Drosophila melanogaster: one gene and its partners. The protein of the gene in region 3 interacts with the protein of the main gene of each other region in a pairwise test. Each region holds a gene or a part of one and is shown on either strand. Other genes may lie near its edges.

Evidence for each region.
Region 1: the proteins of Tsp (region 3) and PhKgamma interact in a two-hybrid assay, tested with the Drosophila melanogaster proteins (one large-scale study listed by BioGRID).
Region 2: the proteins of Tsp (region 3) and CG15022 interact in a two-hybrid assay, tested with the Drosophila melanogaster proteins (one large-scale study listed by BioGRID).

What each region holds. Positions count from the first base shown.
Region 1 is NC_004354.4:11,693,092-11,698,192, reverse strand, and holds the start of PhKgamma (phosphorylase kinase gamma), read right to left. Parts: upstream 3,057-5,101; 5' UTR 2,914-3,056; exon of another isoform or gene 2,809-2,913; intron 2,370-2,808; 5' UTR 1,882-2,369; intron 1,791-1,881; 5' UTR 1,745-1,790; coding exon 1,653-1,744; intron 1,128-1,652; coding exon 949-1,127; intron 883-948; coding exon 598-882; intron 533-597; coding exon 442-532; intron 1-441.
Region 2 is NT_037436.4:4,458,637-4,462,377, forward strand, and holds CG15022 (uncharacterized protein), read right to left. Parts: upstream 1,682-3,741; 5' UTR 1,612-1,681; coding exon 1,609-1,611; intron 1,547-1,608; coding exon 662-1,546; 3' UTR 557-661; downstream 1-556. Other genes in the region: CG15023 (uncharacterized protein), read right to left, coding at 2,110-2,616, 2,681-2,683.
Region 3 is NT_033779.5:6,705,961-6,711,290, forward strand, and holds the start of Tsp (thrombospondin), read right to left. Parts: upstream 3,127-5,330; 5' UTR 2,327-3,126; intron 1-2,326.

The sequences.
Region 1 (5,101 bases), on a different chromosome or scaffold from region 3:
TTAAAGAACTCAAAAATACAAAAAGCCCTACGTTTTGCTGAACCGAAGAAATATAGACGTCGGTATCGGAACTACTCAGATTTCAGATTATTATGCCTTTCTGCTTCTGACTCATTCATTAAAATGCACACCTAAAGATCAAAACAAATCGCCTGACACGAGGAACACTAGTTAATGAAATGTATCAGCAAAATTTGCGTCTATAAAACAAAAAAAAAAGGAAAACGGGTCTAATATCGATACAAAAGTTTAGACCTTTCTTTTTTTATGTAAGCAAAAATTTTTAATAATAAAATTAGCTGTTAACATAAGCAATTTAGTAATTTGAGCAGACAATTCGTATTACAATAAATGTGATACTTTTTGTGCTTAAATTGCTTCTATAATTTAAGTGAGCCAAAAAAAGGTGTAATAATAAGTGGCTAGTTTATTCGCTCTTACATGTCGACTTCCTGCGAGTAGCCGGGGGATCCCTCGAACATGTTGCACTTGAGCGTTTCGGGAGCCAAATAACCCGGCGTTCCGCACAGATCTAATAGGGGGAAAGTACATATAGTTTAGCTTAGCGAATACAGAAGGATGCTGTGTTATAATTACTTGTAAGTTTCTCGCCCTCTTGCAACTGCTTGGCGAAGCCAAAATCCGTGATCTTAACGTTGTGGTTCTCGTCCAGCAAGATATTCTCGGGCTTAAGATCCCGATGGACAATGCTCTTCGCGTGTATGTACTCGACGCCCTCAAAGATTTGTCGCATAATGGTGCGCGTCTTCTTCTCGGATAGCGTCACCACAGAGGTCAGATAGTCGAAGAGTTCACCTTTGGGACACAGCTCGAAGACGAGGAAAACAAATGCATCTGACTCGAACACATCCTGCAGATCAACTGTGCACGATAATGTAGATGGTTAGTGGTGGAATTAAGTACATGTGGGTGCTATGTGAGACTAACTTATGTAGGGATGCCCCATGACCTGGCGCAGTATTGAGATTTCTTGTCTGGTTGCTTCCAGCATGTGATATGGATTCGTCTCGCCTGACTCTGTGGTGGCGCCCAAGTCGATGATCTTGGCGGCAAACTCCTTGCCCGTCTCCTTTTCGATACATCGCCTCACGGTCGAACTGATGCCCCTGTAAGACAAACATTGCATGTAGATAAAGAGCTCTGCTTCTGCTGCACTTGACATTGCCATGATCGGGTATTTATCTAATCTCTAATCCCTAGAATTGTAATATGTAATTAGCCCTTGTTTTCGCTTAGTCTCTGCTATTTGCTTGGCAAATTCTGATCTTCGTTGTGGCGTGAGTAGGCCGGCAGACAGGCGCCGCTTGAAAAGCAGCCCATGCCATTGCTCCATGCCATGGAAGCTTGATGAGGCTGACTCACTTGGCACCATTTAGCCCAAACTGCATTACTGCAGACTTGGCAGTAAGAGGTTGGGAAAGCAGAAACAATCAATATTTGGACGTTCTAGTGATTTCTGAGGATACAAGTATCAATGTTTCTATGATCTTAAATTTGCAAAATTAACTACGCAAAGTAAATAGAAAGAAACGTATTTGAATGGTTAAGTGCAGGATCAATAATACTTCAACTGAATTTAAAAGGATTTAATAAGAGGTTTGAGATCACGGCAAGTGTAGTTCGATTCTTACCTGCCCAGAATCTCCTTGGGCTCGTATTTGGCATAGAAGCCCTTGGCCGCATCCTTGTCGGGCAGCAGATCATCCTCCTCGTCCTTGGCCATTAGATTTCGTGAAATCTTGCCGGCTGCCGAAACGGCAGTTTGGAATCTATTTGGTGGACGAGCGGAAATCAATTGGTTAGTGAAGGATTACATGATGATGACGGTGATTATGGTCGCAATCAAGATCAGTTAGTTACTCTGTCAGGCTGCCTGCTAATGAAGATGATGGGGATGGGATGCGGTGGCGATGGCGATTGAGGCGTAGGAGGGGGCGGTGATTTCTGGTGGTGTTCTGTTGATGAGGTTGATGCGATCGTTTAAGGCGTTGCTATTTTTATAACGACAATGTGGAAACGAACGGACGTGCGACACGAGTGGAATCTCTCGCCGACTGCGATTGAGACTGTGACTCTCCGACTTTGCGACTTTGCCGACAATCAGACTTGCCGACTTTCCGACTCTGCCGACTTTCGTTCTTTTCTTTTCGTTTCTTGCCGCCTCGCCGCGCTTCGCTTCGCTTCGTTCCGTTTCAGTTTAGTTCAGTTCAGTTCGGTCTTCCTTTTAATTACCAAGCCCCTGCTATTCGATTCCACCCGATTCGATTGGAAGTGGATCCTCTCCTGTCGCTCTCGATTGCTCTCTCGCTCAGCTGTTGGCGGCTGATTTAATTAATAACGAATGCCAACTGCAAAAACACAGATCGATTTGAATAACAGGCAAAAATTAAATCAAAAATAATAGAATTAAAATGTATTATTAAACAAGTGTTGTGTGTGTGTGTGTGTGTGGTGTGTTCACAACGAATGATTACACAACTACAACGCTTTGTTTTGTTTGCATTTCGAAAGGGTGCACATTATCGTTGCTGTTTTTGTTGTTGTTTAGCCTCCTTATCAGTGATACAGCTTCTCTTCTTCTACTACTGTTGCTGATTTCTTGCAGTTGTTTTGCTAGCACGCACGCACACACACATAAGCACGCTCGCATGCACCGACTATGTGCAGCAGGTTCCTTTTGTTTTTGTTTTTGCTCTGCTCTCGTTTCTCCCATCCTCCTTTGCAATCCCACACACACACTCGCGCACACAGACGCCGCATAGCACACATATACGCACACACACGCACCATCGTGGACATCCAACTAAGCGGGTACATTTCAATGTCAACTAAGGTTAAAAGTAGTACGCTTTTTGGCGGAGTTGGCGCCCGCACCGCCAGTGAAACACATACACGTGTGACCGCTCGCCTCTTGAATCGCTGGCAACGACGTCTCGAACATAACTCCACACAAAATTTATATTCCTCGGATTAAATTGCTAGTGCAACAATAAAACCCTGTATTTTTGACACAATCACAAAACTGGAGGTGGCACTAGTACCGATATCGAAGTAATGCTATCGATTGTTCCCGACACTCTGTCATATCGATAGCATTATATCTATCGACACGTAATTGTTAGCTAAGACACACCCCGACCAGGGATGGCACAGTTAGCTAAGACAACATCCTAACTTAGCAAGGACTTGATCCCACTCGGCATGGTTAGCAAAGACGCACTACCAAAATTGAACCCTCAACGGTGTTAATTTAAAATGAATCCTTTTCTAAATACCAATTAAATATAACAAACATAAGTGGACTTATAAAATAAGTCACTTCATAGATTTGAATATTTAAATTACCATTATTATATATGTTAACTTTTAACAAAAACTGTTGCTAACATTTTGCTTTGGCCTTAACTTCCTTTAACTTAAAACACGCGACTAGATGTTGATGTATTTTATATTTATTTACGGAATACAATTGTAAAAAATATTCAATAAGCGCTAAATGTATATAATAATTATGAGGCAAATGTTACATTTTCCTTTGCTTTCTTCCGCTGAATGGGCAAGCGGAGCTTAGAATGTTCTTCATTTTCGTTTTGGAAGGGTCGCGAAAAGGGATGATGATGGGTCACAAGATCGGATCGTTAGAATCCATTAAGTTAATACTCGGGCGGGACTAACCGCTCGTCGCGTACTTCGTGGATTAAGGTTTCAGTAACCTTCGGGATGCAGTCGGAAATACGTTGATTTGTTGTTGTTGTATATTTACTATCAAAATGCCGTAAATGGAATACACAATACAAATACAAATACAATTGCAGCAGCAAAGTTGTTCATTCAGTGCCGTATGTAGATACATTACAATAATATAATTATTAATTTATCAAAAAAAAAAAACCATATATATATATTTATAAAGAAGACAGACACACACGCTTGCTGTTGTACACATACACATCGGATCTCTAGGCTTACAAACTTACAAATAATATCTATTTATATACGTATCTTTATGGATTTCTTGCCATACTTGGTTTACGTTGCCTTGTTGTTTTTATTTTTCTTTCCTTCGTTACTGTTTTCGCGTCTAACCGAAGTTGATATTTCACCTAAGTGCACGCTTTTCAATTAGGGGAACGATCAGGATGTGGTAGGTTGTTATGCTCGGAAGGTTTGGAGTTTGGTGGAAACCGGTAGAAAAAGAGCTAGACGCTCCGGTTTTTTGGCTGGCAGGACGACCTAATATAGCAAATCCGTTTTCTGTGTACCCTCGCTGTACACAACTTCGGCGCCCGGCGTCGCCGTCAGATGGTAATCATCCTCGTCCACAGCTGAACCCTTCTTGGAGGCACCTGCTCCATCTGCAGTTCCAGGTCCTGCTTCCGTTGCCGCCAAGTCGCCCTCCTTGATCAGTCCCTCGCCGATGCCCATAATGCTGCCATTCCCGTTGAACATCAACCGGCTGCCCGCAGCTCCGGCTGGACTGCTCCCGTTGCTGCCTGGACTGTGGCTGCCATTGCTGCTCCCACTGCTGCTGCTCTCGGGCAGGGCGTATCGGGTGACACCCAGCTGGAATAGGTTGTCCATCGCCGTGCCCTTCATGGGCGTGTAGAAGCCCAGAGCCGTGGAGCCTGCAATTATGTGTAGAACGAGATTAATCGACTGTATATCTTTATTTCAAGTGGGTTTAAATCCTTCCAAGGATTTGGGGTTAGTACAATGATAAATAAGGTGGCTCCGAGTTGGGAAATATATATTTCAGAACATATATATATATATTTATATGTATATATAATCGAGATGAGGTGACGGTGTTGTGGATAAAGGAGGATCTCGCCTGGATCTTTTCAAGCAAATGAAAACGAAACATGACCAGTGGATAAAGAAATGGAAGTGGAGATGAGCGATGGAAGTTGATGATATGACTAGGATGTGCCAAGTGGTGTTGGTGGCTGGTGTGTGCGTGTGTTCGAGTGTCTGTTCTAATCTGGGTTAGTTACCTTAATAATAATATGAATTGGCGATTAGTTTGATTGCCCAGCGGAGCAGACAGAGCAAGTGCACTGGGTTAGAGGTGTGGCATTTC
Region 2 (3,741 bases), on a different chromosome or scaffold from region 3:
CATTATTGATACATCACTATCAGGTTTTAATTAAAATGCTTAAAGACAAAATGAAAGACAAATCAAGTGTGCTATTAAAGTAACCTAATGTTTAAACATTTAAACTTTAACCCTTTTCAAAAGAGCATACTCAATTCGTTAGGGGCTTAATTATTTATTTCTGTCTAATCTTTTCATGGCACCTTTAAAAGACTTGCCCCATCTCTGGGCAACATTGAAAGAGGTCAACTGTCGTCCCATTGCCGATGGCTGCAATTGGCGATTAGCGATTTTGGTTCGGTTTGAACCTTTCTGTAACCGACACCGATCAATCCCTATAAATATATTCAAACCAAAACTCACATCATTTTTCATCCAAAAAGACAGTAATTATCGACACTGCAGGTGATGATCGAGCTGAACTAAAGCTAAAACCGAAGCCGTTTGGCTATTTCGGTTGATTGGCCGCAATTAGATTTGGAGGTCAGATTGAAATCCACATGGATCCCTTGGGGGCTGGGTGACAGCAATTTGGGTTTGATATCTTTGACCTTGAGGATGGGGAAAGAGTGCGAGTGGTGTAATACTCCATTTTATTTTTTGTTAAAAATGCTTTTAATGTGTACAGCTTAAAACTAGATGCAGTGCTTGTGGTTTGGTTTTTTTTCGGTGGTTGATTATCCTAATGCCTGAAACGGCGAAGTGGAGGCTTGTAGTGGTAACCAGGCTCGGCGTCGTGGATTGGACTTGGTGCAGGGCCCAAGGGCAGTGCATAGGATGGAATCGGTATGTGGAAATCTACCTCAGGCTGGGGTGGCAGATATTTTTGTTCGGGCTTAGGAGGCAGATACTTCTCGACGGGCTCGGAAGGTGGCAGGTACTTAGTCTCCGGCTCGGCAGGAGGAAGATACAGCTTCTTGGGAGCCACTGGTGGGGGTGGAGGTGGTGGTGGCAGACTGGGTGCAACCTTGGGTGGCAGATACCTTGCCACTGGAGCAGGTGGCAGATACTTCACCTCGGGCGTCGGAGGAGGAAGGTACTTGGACTCTGGCGGACTGGGAGGCAGATATGTGGGCTTGGGCGCCACAACTGGAGGTGGTGGTGGAGGAGGCAGGCTGGGAGCGACCTTGGGTGGCAGATACTTGGCCACCGGTTCGGGGGGCAGGTACTTCACTTCAGGCTTTGAGGGAGGCAGATAAGTTGCCTTGGGCGGTGGAGGTGGTGGCGGTGGCAGGGAAACCTTGGGCGGCAGGTACTTCTGGCGAGGTTTCTCTGGAGGTCCATAGCTATATCCGCTAGGGATATCGAACTTGGCCTCTTGATGATGATGATGGTGGTGATCCGGCTGATAGTGCAGATCAATGTGCAGATCATGATGATCGTGTGACGAGGGAGAATGGTGGTGGGAATGGACATCATAGTGGTGGTGATCATGATCGTGATCGTGATCATGGTGGTGATGGTGATCATGGCCGTGATCGTGGTAACCTCCTCCGTACAGGTGGGACACGTCTGCCCGAATACAGATGGCAAAGCCTGCCAGAGCCAAAAGGATCAGCATGGGTTTCTGTAAAATAACCAACCTCCTGTTAGGTCATCTTTATTAGAGAATATGCCGCTACTGTTTACCATTTCCTTTAAGAGATAATCCACCGATCGAGATGATGTTGCTGCCGTTTGATGACAGCAGGTAGTAATGTCAATAACGTCGATGGTCACCGCTTTTATACAAAGATCGCGCCTTCCTCGACCGGCTGGCTATTTGGTTTTCTTCACACTTTTCTTGGTTTTCATGAACTTGAGGTCGGCCAATTATCGGCGTGTGTTATCTCCCTCTACCCCAAAACAATTAATGCGATTTCGACCAAATTAGCTCTGCACAACAAAGCAGCTCATGAATATGCAGCGGATGCGACGAAATCCCAGACAATTGACGGTGATTGACTCGGCCATCTGTACCACTTTTGTCCCATCCCAATAAATATTTGGGAGATACCGATGCTAATGGGGTTAACAAAACAGCGTTTATTGAGATGGCTTTAACCTTATATAAACCTAAGCCTAGTGGAACGATTTAAAACAAAACTAATCCGGGGAAATCTTCCATGTTCAGTTCGATCGCGATTTTGCTCAGAAGGTGAACTCTTGGGCGGGCACATCGTAGTGGTAACCCGGTTCCGGTTGTGGTGGTGGGGGTGGAAGGTACGTGGGCACTGGCGTGGGTGCAGGTGTCGTTGTGGTTGTAGTGGTGGTGGTGGTAGTGGTACGCGGTGGTGGAGGTGGGGGAGGAAGGTAAGTGGGAGCAGGAGTGGGAGCGGGAGTGGTTGTCGTGGTAGTGGTAGTAGGTGGAGGGGGAGGAAGGTAGGTAGGAGCGGGAGTAGGAGCCGGAGTGGTTGTGGTGGTAGTTGTGGTTGTGGGCGGAGGAGGAGGTAGGTAAGTGGGTACTGGTTTGGGTGGCAGATAAGTCGGTGGTGGCGGTGGTGGCTCCGTCGTCGAGGTAATCACAAATGGTATCTCCGGCTTGGGGTAGTCATAGCCATAGCCATGCTCATGATGCTCCTCCAGGAGTTCCAGCGGCAAATGCGAAACATCACCGGCTGCAAAAGCCAGCAGACAGGTAGCCAAAATGAATAGCTTCTGAAATAGGAAAGAAATCGTGAAGTTCAGATTGCTTCTCATATCTACAACTGACCACACTCACCATCTCCTTTATGATATGTCTAACACCTTGAGCTCTTAAACCACAAATGATTGAGCGTTTGCATCCACGTCGGTTTATTTATAGTCAAAATTCTAAAACAGATCGATACTGTCCATGGCGCTCTAGAGGCCAATTATTATCATTTAAATCGATATAACACCGCTAGCCCCACGGCATTCTTTGTATCGGTAAATGTATCTGTATCTGTAGCGCTCTCCGCAGCCATGTTTATATGAATGATTAGCGCCACAATAGTGCGCCGAAGTTGACAGAGGAGCAGCGTCAACATCGCCAACTTTGTTTCGGAACTATTATGCCTATATGGGGCCCTACTGAGCCGTTTTTCATCAACGTCGTCACTTGGGTTTTCATTGTTACGGTGTTAAAGGTATGACCAAACTTCCGACGGAACCTGGGGCACAAAAGCTTAGCACACAGAAAAACAGTCATAAATTCATAAAAATTCTGAGCAGATTTTGAATCAATTTGAAATAAGTAATCAGCGAGTACTTGCATTCTGATATGGGTTGCTACATATTTTAAATGTTAATTAATGAAATTCATTCATACATGAAAGGTACATGCACTTAATGTTATTTATTTTAAGCTAGTCAAGCTAAATTTTCTCTCAGTGCATCTGAAGAGGTAGTTCCGTCGCTGGAAGCGTTGTAAGCGTGCTCTGCTGGCTGTCATAAATCATTTAGACTTCATTTATAATAATTATGGCTCGCGCTGCCTTTTGCAACTCAAGAAGTTTGAGTGGTCAGAGTTTCATGGACAGATGGACAATGAAGCTGTCTGCTGGACATGATCTTGCGGAAGCAATTCAGTTACAGATCAGTCGAGTTATATAGCAGAGGCGGAGAAGATGGTAAGGAGCTTAACGGCCACGGAGAACAAGGAAAATTAAGACTATTTTCAAACTAACATTTTTTTAATGGTGGTAGTCAGAAGATATCGAAATAGTTTTAGGAGAAGACCTATGTTTATAGTGAATGAAATTATGAACAAGTCTGGAAACATTTAATTTTATTCTTAAGGAATACTTAAATATTATTGTT
Region 3 (5,330 bases):
TCTGTCAATTATAAGTCGGGTGATTGAGATTTCTGGTATGGTAATTGCCACCTGCCAAGTTGCTCAATCGCAACAGCAGAGTACATAAAAATGATTGAAATTGTAGGTGTAAAAACGCATAAATCACAATTTAAAGACCCGTAAGAATGGTATTATTATAATCTCTGTAATCTTGAATCTTTAATCTTGCGTTGAGCTAAACATGCATGATGACTACTTTTTGATGTAAGCATAGCCAGCAGCTAGAAACTGTCTCAAATCGTATTATATTGCCATCAATTAAATTTATACAGCGGCTATATAATTAAATGTTTATTTTTACCAGGTGTTTGTTGGACCGCACCTTGCTATCAGTGGTCGTCTTTAAATAATTTGCATATCTTCGCAAAATATCTAAGGAAAATAATATGCGTGATAGATGCTACTATTCTTGCCCGGATAAAAGTATACATTTCGGCGCAATTTTCGTTGGCAATCTTGTCAAATCGCTTGAGAATGTGTTTAATCTGTCATTAGGCCAAAACCGAAAACCCATTAACTTATGTTGATGAACCATTAAGGCAAAGTCGCGTCTCCATTCGACTTGAATTGGTTTTGAAGCCCGCAGTCCAAACGGCCAACACAAATAGCCTTAGCTGCTATTGTGACTTTGCTCCATTTGAATTGCAAATTCCGACTGAAGTCAATACAAAGCATTAAAATTTGTTAGCCTGATTTGCCGCAGAAGGTTCGGATATTGGTGTCCAAATGACTTTCCACTGACGATGCGCTAATTTGCTGGTGCAACAATTTTCCACTTAATTTGCATTTGTTTATGAACTCATAACTCGCTGCCAAGCGGAAATTCCATAACTAACAATGGCAATATTATTTATGTTTTAATAATGTCAAACTCGAGCTCCAAATATGGCCAGCAAGATATTACCATGTCTGAAGAGTCATCTCTGTGTGGAGCGCCAAGGGGTGTCAATGTTTGGACAGAGAATAAGAAAACACCAAGCTCCATATTTGAATAATTATTCAGTGAATTTCTGTCACATCTCATTGCAAAACTGAACAGATCGATCTTATTTGTCCGCTCTATTGAAGGGAAAGTATCTATCTATTGTATAGATACATCGATACAACGAAGTCATAGGCCTAGCTAAAAGTATCTCCCAACTATTGGTTACTACATCTTCAAGATTAATACCCCTTCGGGTCACAACGCCACTGCCGCTAAATAATATATTCAAATAATAAAATAACCGCAAGTCTGAAATGTCTCTCGAACAGGCAGTTATAAATTGTTATGGGGATCTTTGCAGTGGGCGTCTTTTAATTGAATCGCTTGGAATTGAGTAGCAGAGCCCAGTAGAAGCTGCAAAGTGATTGGGAAATCGAGCCAAATAAAATTAAGTATTTTAACCGTTGTTGGGGAATGTGACCAGCTTCATTTGGTCAACATCATTAGCAATCTGTGGCTGCCGTTTCGAATCACAATTCATATTTGTTGGAGGGGAAAATATTCTGTGCTCTGACCTTATATGATCCACATAATTATAGTTCTCGCAAAGGCATAAACCTCAATCTGATCTGCTTTAAATACGTGTGGAAAGTCCGGTAATTAATAAATTATGACTCGACTGCGGTATTTATGGCGCCAATGCAGATAAGATCTCCCCAGATCCCCCATAGATTAATGTCGCTCGAATGGTGAGGATGCCACAGGCCGATTTTGCCGCCAGATTGCGGTTGACTTGGGTGTGGCTAATTAATATGTATCGATAGTATTTGAATTACAACAACAATTAGCTTGATTTATCATCAGATATAAAATGGCGGTGAAATGAATAGAAATCTTGTGAGGCGCTCATAAAAAATATTCATAGATTGGCCTATCAACAACTTGGTGATTATCATGCAATAAAGTCGAATGAAAAGGAGTTAAACTGCTGTGGGTGTGCAGCTAGAAGATGCGATTCTTTAGTCTACAGTCTGTTAAGATTGAAAACAAGAAATTAGCATTTAGCTATTAATAACTTTCTAAATGAATGATATTAATAAACATAGACCCAAGTCGTGATTACTTCCGTATATCTTTCGTTTATCTTTACGATCCTGAGAATATGTTAAAAATGAGATGATGCATCATTATTAACGCAACTTCTTTAAGAACAACTTAATATGCTCTAGTACCTTCCAGGCACTTGAATATGGAATGCACTTCGCACCTGGCCACTTGGCGCACTCATTTTCCGAGTGAGCGGAGTGTAGCCCAGATTTTGGCCACACGAATAAGCAGCATATGTAGAAGCCCGGAGGTCTGGCCCACCTTCACACTCACCTCGTGGTCAAGGACGCTGCTCTTGCTCTAGAGGTGCCCCCACTGCGGATGTGGATGTGATCCAAGTGATCCACTTGGCGGGACGGAACTGACAGCTCCTTGTTGTTTGTGCGGCTCGTTTGCGCCACTTGCGGCTGTCAACGCGCAATTTAGAATGGAAACGACCTGAGTTATTTTTACGAGTATTGCCACACTTTTCCGCCGCTTTTTCCTGGACGCCCGCACAGACACTTTTATTATGTTGTACTTTTGCAGAGCGAAAGATCAAACACGTCGCAAGGGTATCTTCACACTAAAAGAATCGATAACGAAACGGATGCATTAGACCATTTAAACCCTTTTCGAAATACGCGCCAGGTAGAAAAGCTGGATTTTGGAATGGGGACACACGCGAAGATTTCGTGGAGTCGATTTTATGGAATCGCGGTGGAGAACACGCGACGCCAATGCCTACAATCCTCCAGCAACGACAACTGCTCCGCAACTGACTCGCCCGTTCGTGCCAATAAAAATTAAAACACTTTTATGCTATTAAGGCGAACGCGACGCGATCTTGGACACCTTGGATGCAGAGGATGCTGCTTGAGGATCGATCGGATTTAAAAATATGGGCAAAAAACTTTGTACAGCGCGGGCTGATTTCAAAAGCACACTTAGGAAGCGTTTGAAAACTGAAACATTCTCGCGATAGTTCGATCGATTGATGCTACTGATTTATCGCCAAAACTAATCACTGATCACTTATCGAAGCACCTAGGACACGCACCGTCTTGTTCAACGTTCCAACGCGAACTGAAACTGAAAATTTGAAAATGCAAAGGGAATGATCGACGCGCAGCGTCGACTGAGGCAGCGGCAGCGCTGTTGGCTGGAGCAACTTGGAGCAGCGACAACTTGTTGTTGCCTTTCTGCGTTTCTGTTTTGTTCTCAGCTGTTGTTGTTGCTCTTGGGAGAAACGCGGCATTTTGTCTTCGTTTGTGTTTCTTTTGATTTGACGCGTGAGTAAGCCGCGACGCCCACGTGCAAAATTTGCGTAAACATCGACAGTGTGGCCAGATCGCTGCTGAATAATTGAGGAAGTGAGTGGAAAAAGTGGTAGTCAACTTTCAGATCTCATATCTTCCGCTTCCTTAGTAAAAAATAAAATTTTATAATGGGTAATCTTCTTTAAAATATAGGAAATTTAAAATTTATTTTCTATATAGAAAATGTTATTTTAAATATTCTGTAACGATCAGCGCAGTTTTCGTTTGTGCGCTTTAAGTTGCAATTATGTAATATATTGTTTAAAACTGCTGTGTAATTTGTAAGAATAAATATTTTGGTTAAAAGTCGCTCTCTGTGATTATATTTATGGGTAATTACTTATTGTCTTCAGTTCATTAGTTTATCCACCAATTATTATGGTGGAGTCGCCCACTTGGGCTGCCCCAATTGTAGATCGTTTGGGCCATTAAACTGAAACTCAATCCCGAAACATGCTTACATTGTAGGCCCGTTTAAGGCCATTAAATCGGATTCGTGCGAACCCTTTTCCGATAATGCGTCCATCCTTGTTTTCGACCACCACCTCCAAATCCAAAGGAACTCGGTGGATGGGGCCAGACTTTTGCTCTTTTGAAATGGAGATCGTAAATAAACGGCACGCTCTGCAGGCATTCAAAACAGACGAACTACTCGTTAAAACCAGAGCCCAAAATGATATGCATATGGCACCTATTAATGGCTACTTATGCAGTACAAGTGTCCCCCATTTCGGAACTCCCTCCACTCCTATTTGCCGTTGACACGGGACTGATGCGTAACACGACAGTAGCATCGGGATCCAAGGGAAAGGGAAGTTGAATGAATGGCCCGACCTGTTCGTCATTATGTCGCCGGCATGTCAGCGGACAGTTGGAGGAGGGCATTATGCAGATGTGCATTTATCACGGAGTTGCGGTGCTGCGGACACACCCGAGATGCTATCCCACATCAACGCTGCATATTTTGCCGCTTTTCGGACAGCGGCGACCACTTGCTGAAATTTCATTATGTGCGTGATTTATAAATAAGCCTCGCTGGCCCCACGCCCCATTCCACACACTCCTCGTCCGAATCCTCCTCGAGTTGTTCCCAGCATCTTCAGTGGTTACGAGCTAAGACGTCCCACGCACTTTTCGACGCCGCAACAGCAACATCAAGTCTGATCTCCTCCGAAATGCCCCACCTTTACCCCACCACCTCGCACTGCAGTTCAGTGCGTATTAATCATAAAATTGTATTATTAACATGTTTATTTTTCGGTCTTCAAGATTCGATTACACGCATTCTTCCTGCTCTTCGTGTGCAGCGCTTTCTGGAGTGTTTTTTTTTCCTCAGCGAACGTGACTTTGTTGTGCAGTGTAACGAAAGTGAGCTACTTTCTAACACTCTTAGGGGGGTTTGGGATTATCATCAGCCTTCAATTGCTCTAGGAAATATTGTCATTTTACGACTTCGCCGGTTAATTGGGTTACGTGGCTTTGGCCACTGATGCCGACCAGGCCAGATGCCTTGCACCTGGAAATAGTGTGGGAGTTGGCAAGACATGGTTTGATTGGAGTGAAGTTGGTCAAGCTTCCGGCTTAATGATTCAAAGGAGAGTGTTTAATGGCAGTTGATAAATATGCATATCTAAGTGCAAATATTTACCTAAAGGTGTTACCATAGCTCTCCATTCACCCTACAAACTAAAAGCAAGTGCTTATCACTTAATTTCCAACTCAGCCCCTTTTTTTTTGGGCCAATACAATATAATTAAAAGTAGTTAAAGGTCAATTCACCAGCTTATCGGGGAAGTAAAACTGGTTTGCTCGCATATCAATTCAAAAATATTGAATAAATATTTAAGGGCCCGTCGGTGAGTGTATAATTAACGTGGAGGGCTTAAGCCATAAAACTAGTGATTAACGCCAAGTTAACAACAAAAAAATAAACCGGCATTGCGGGCTCTTCGCAAACAAAACTCAGCATGTTTTCTATA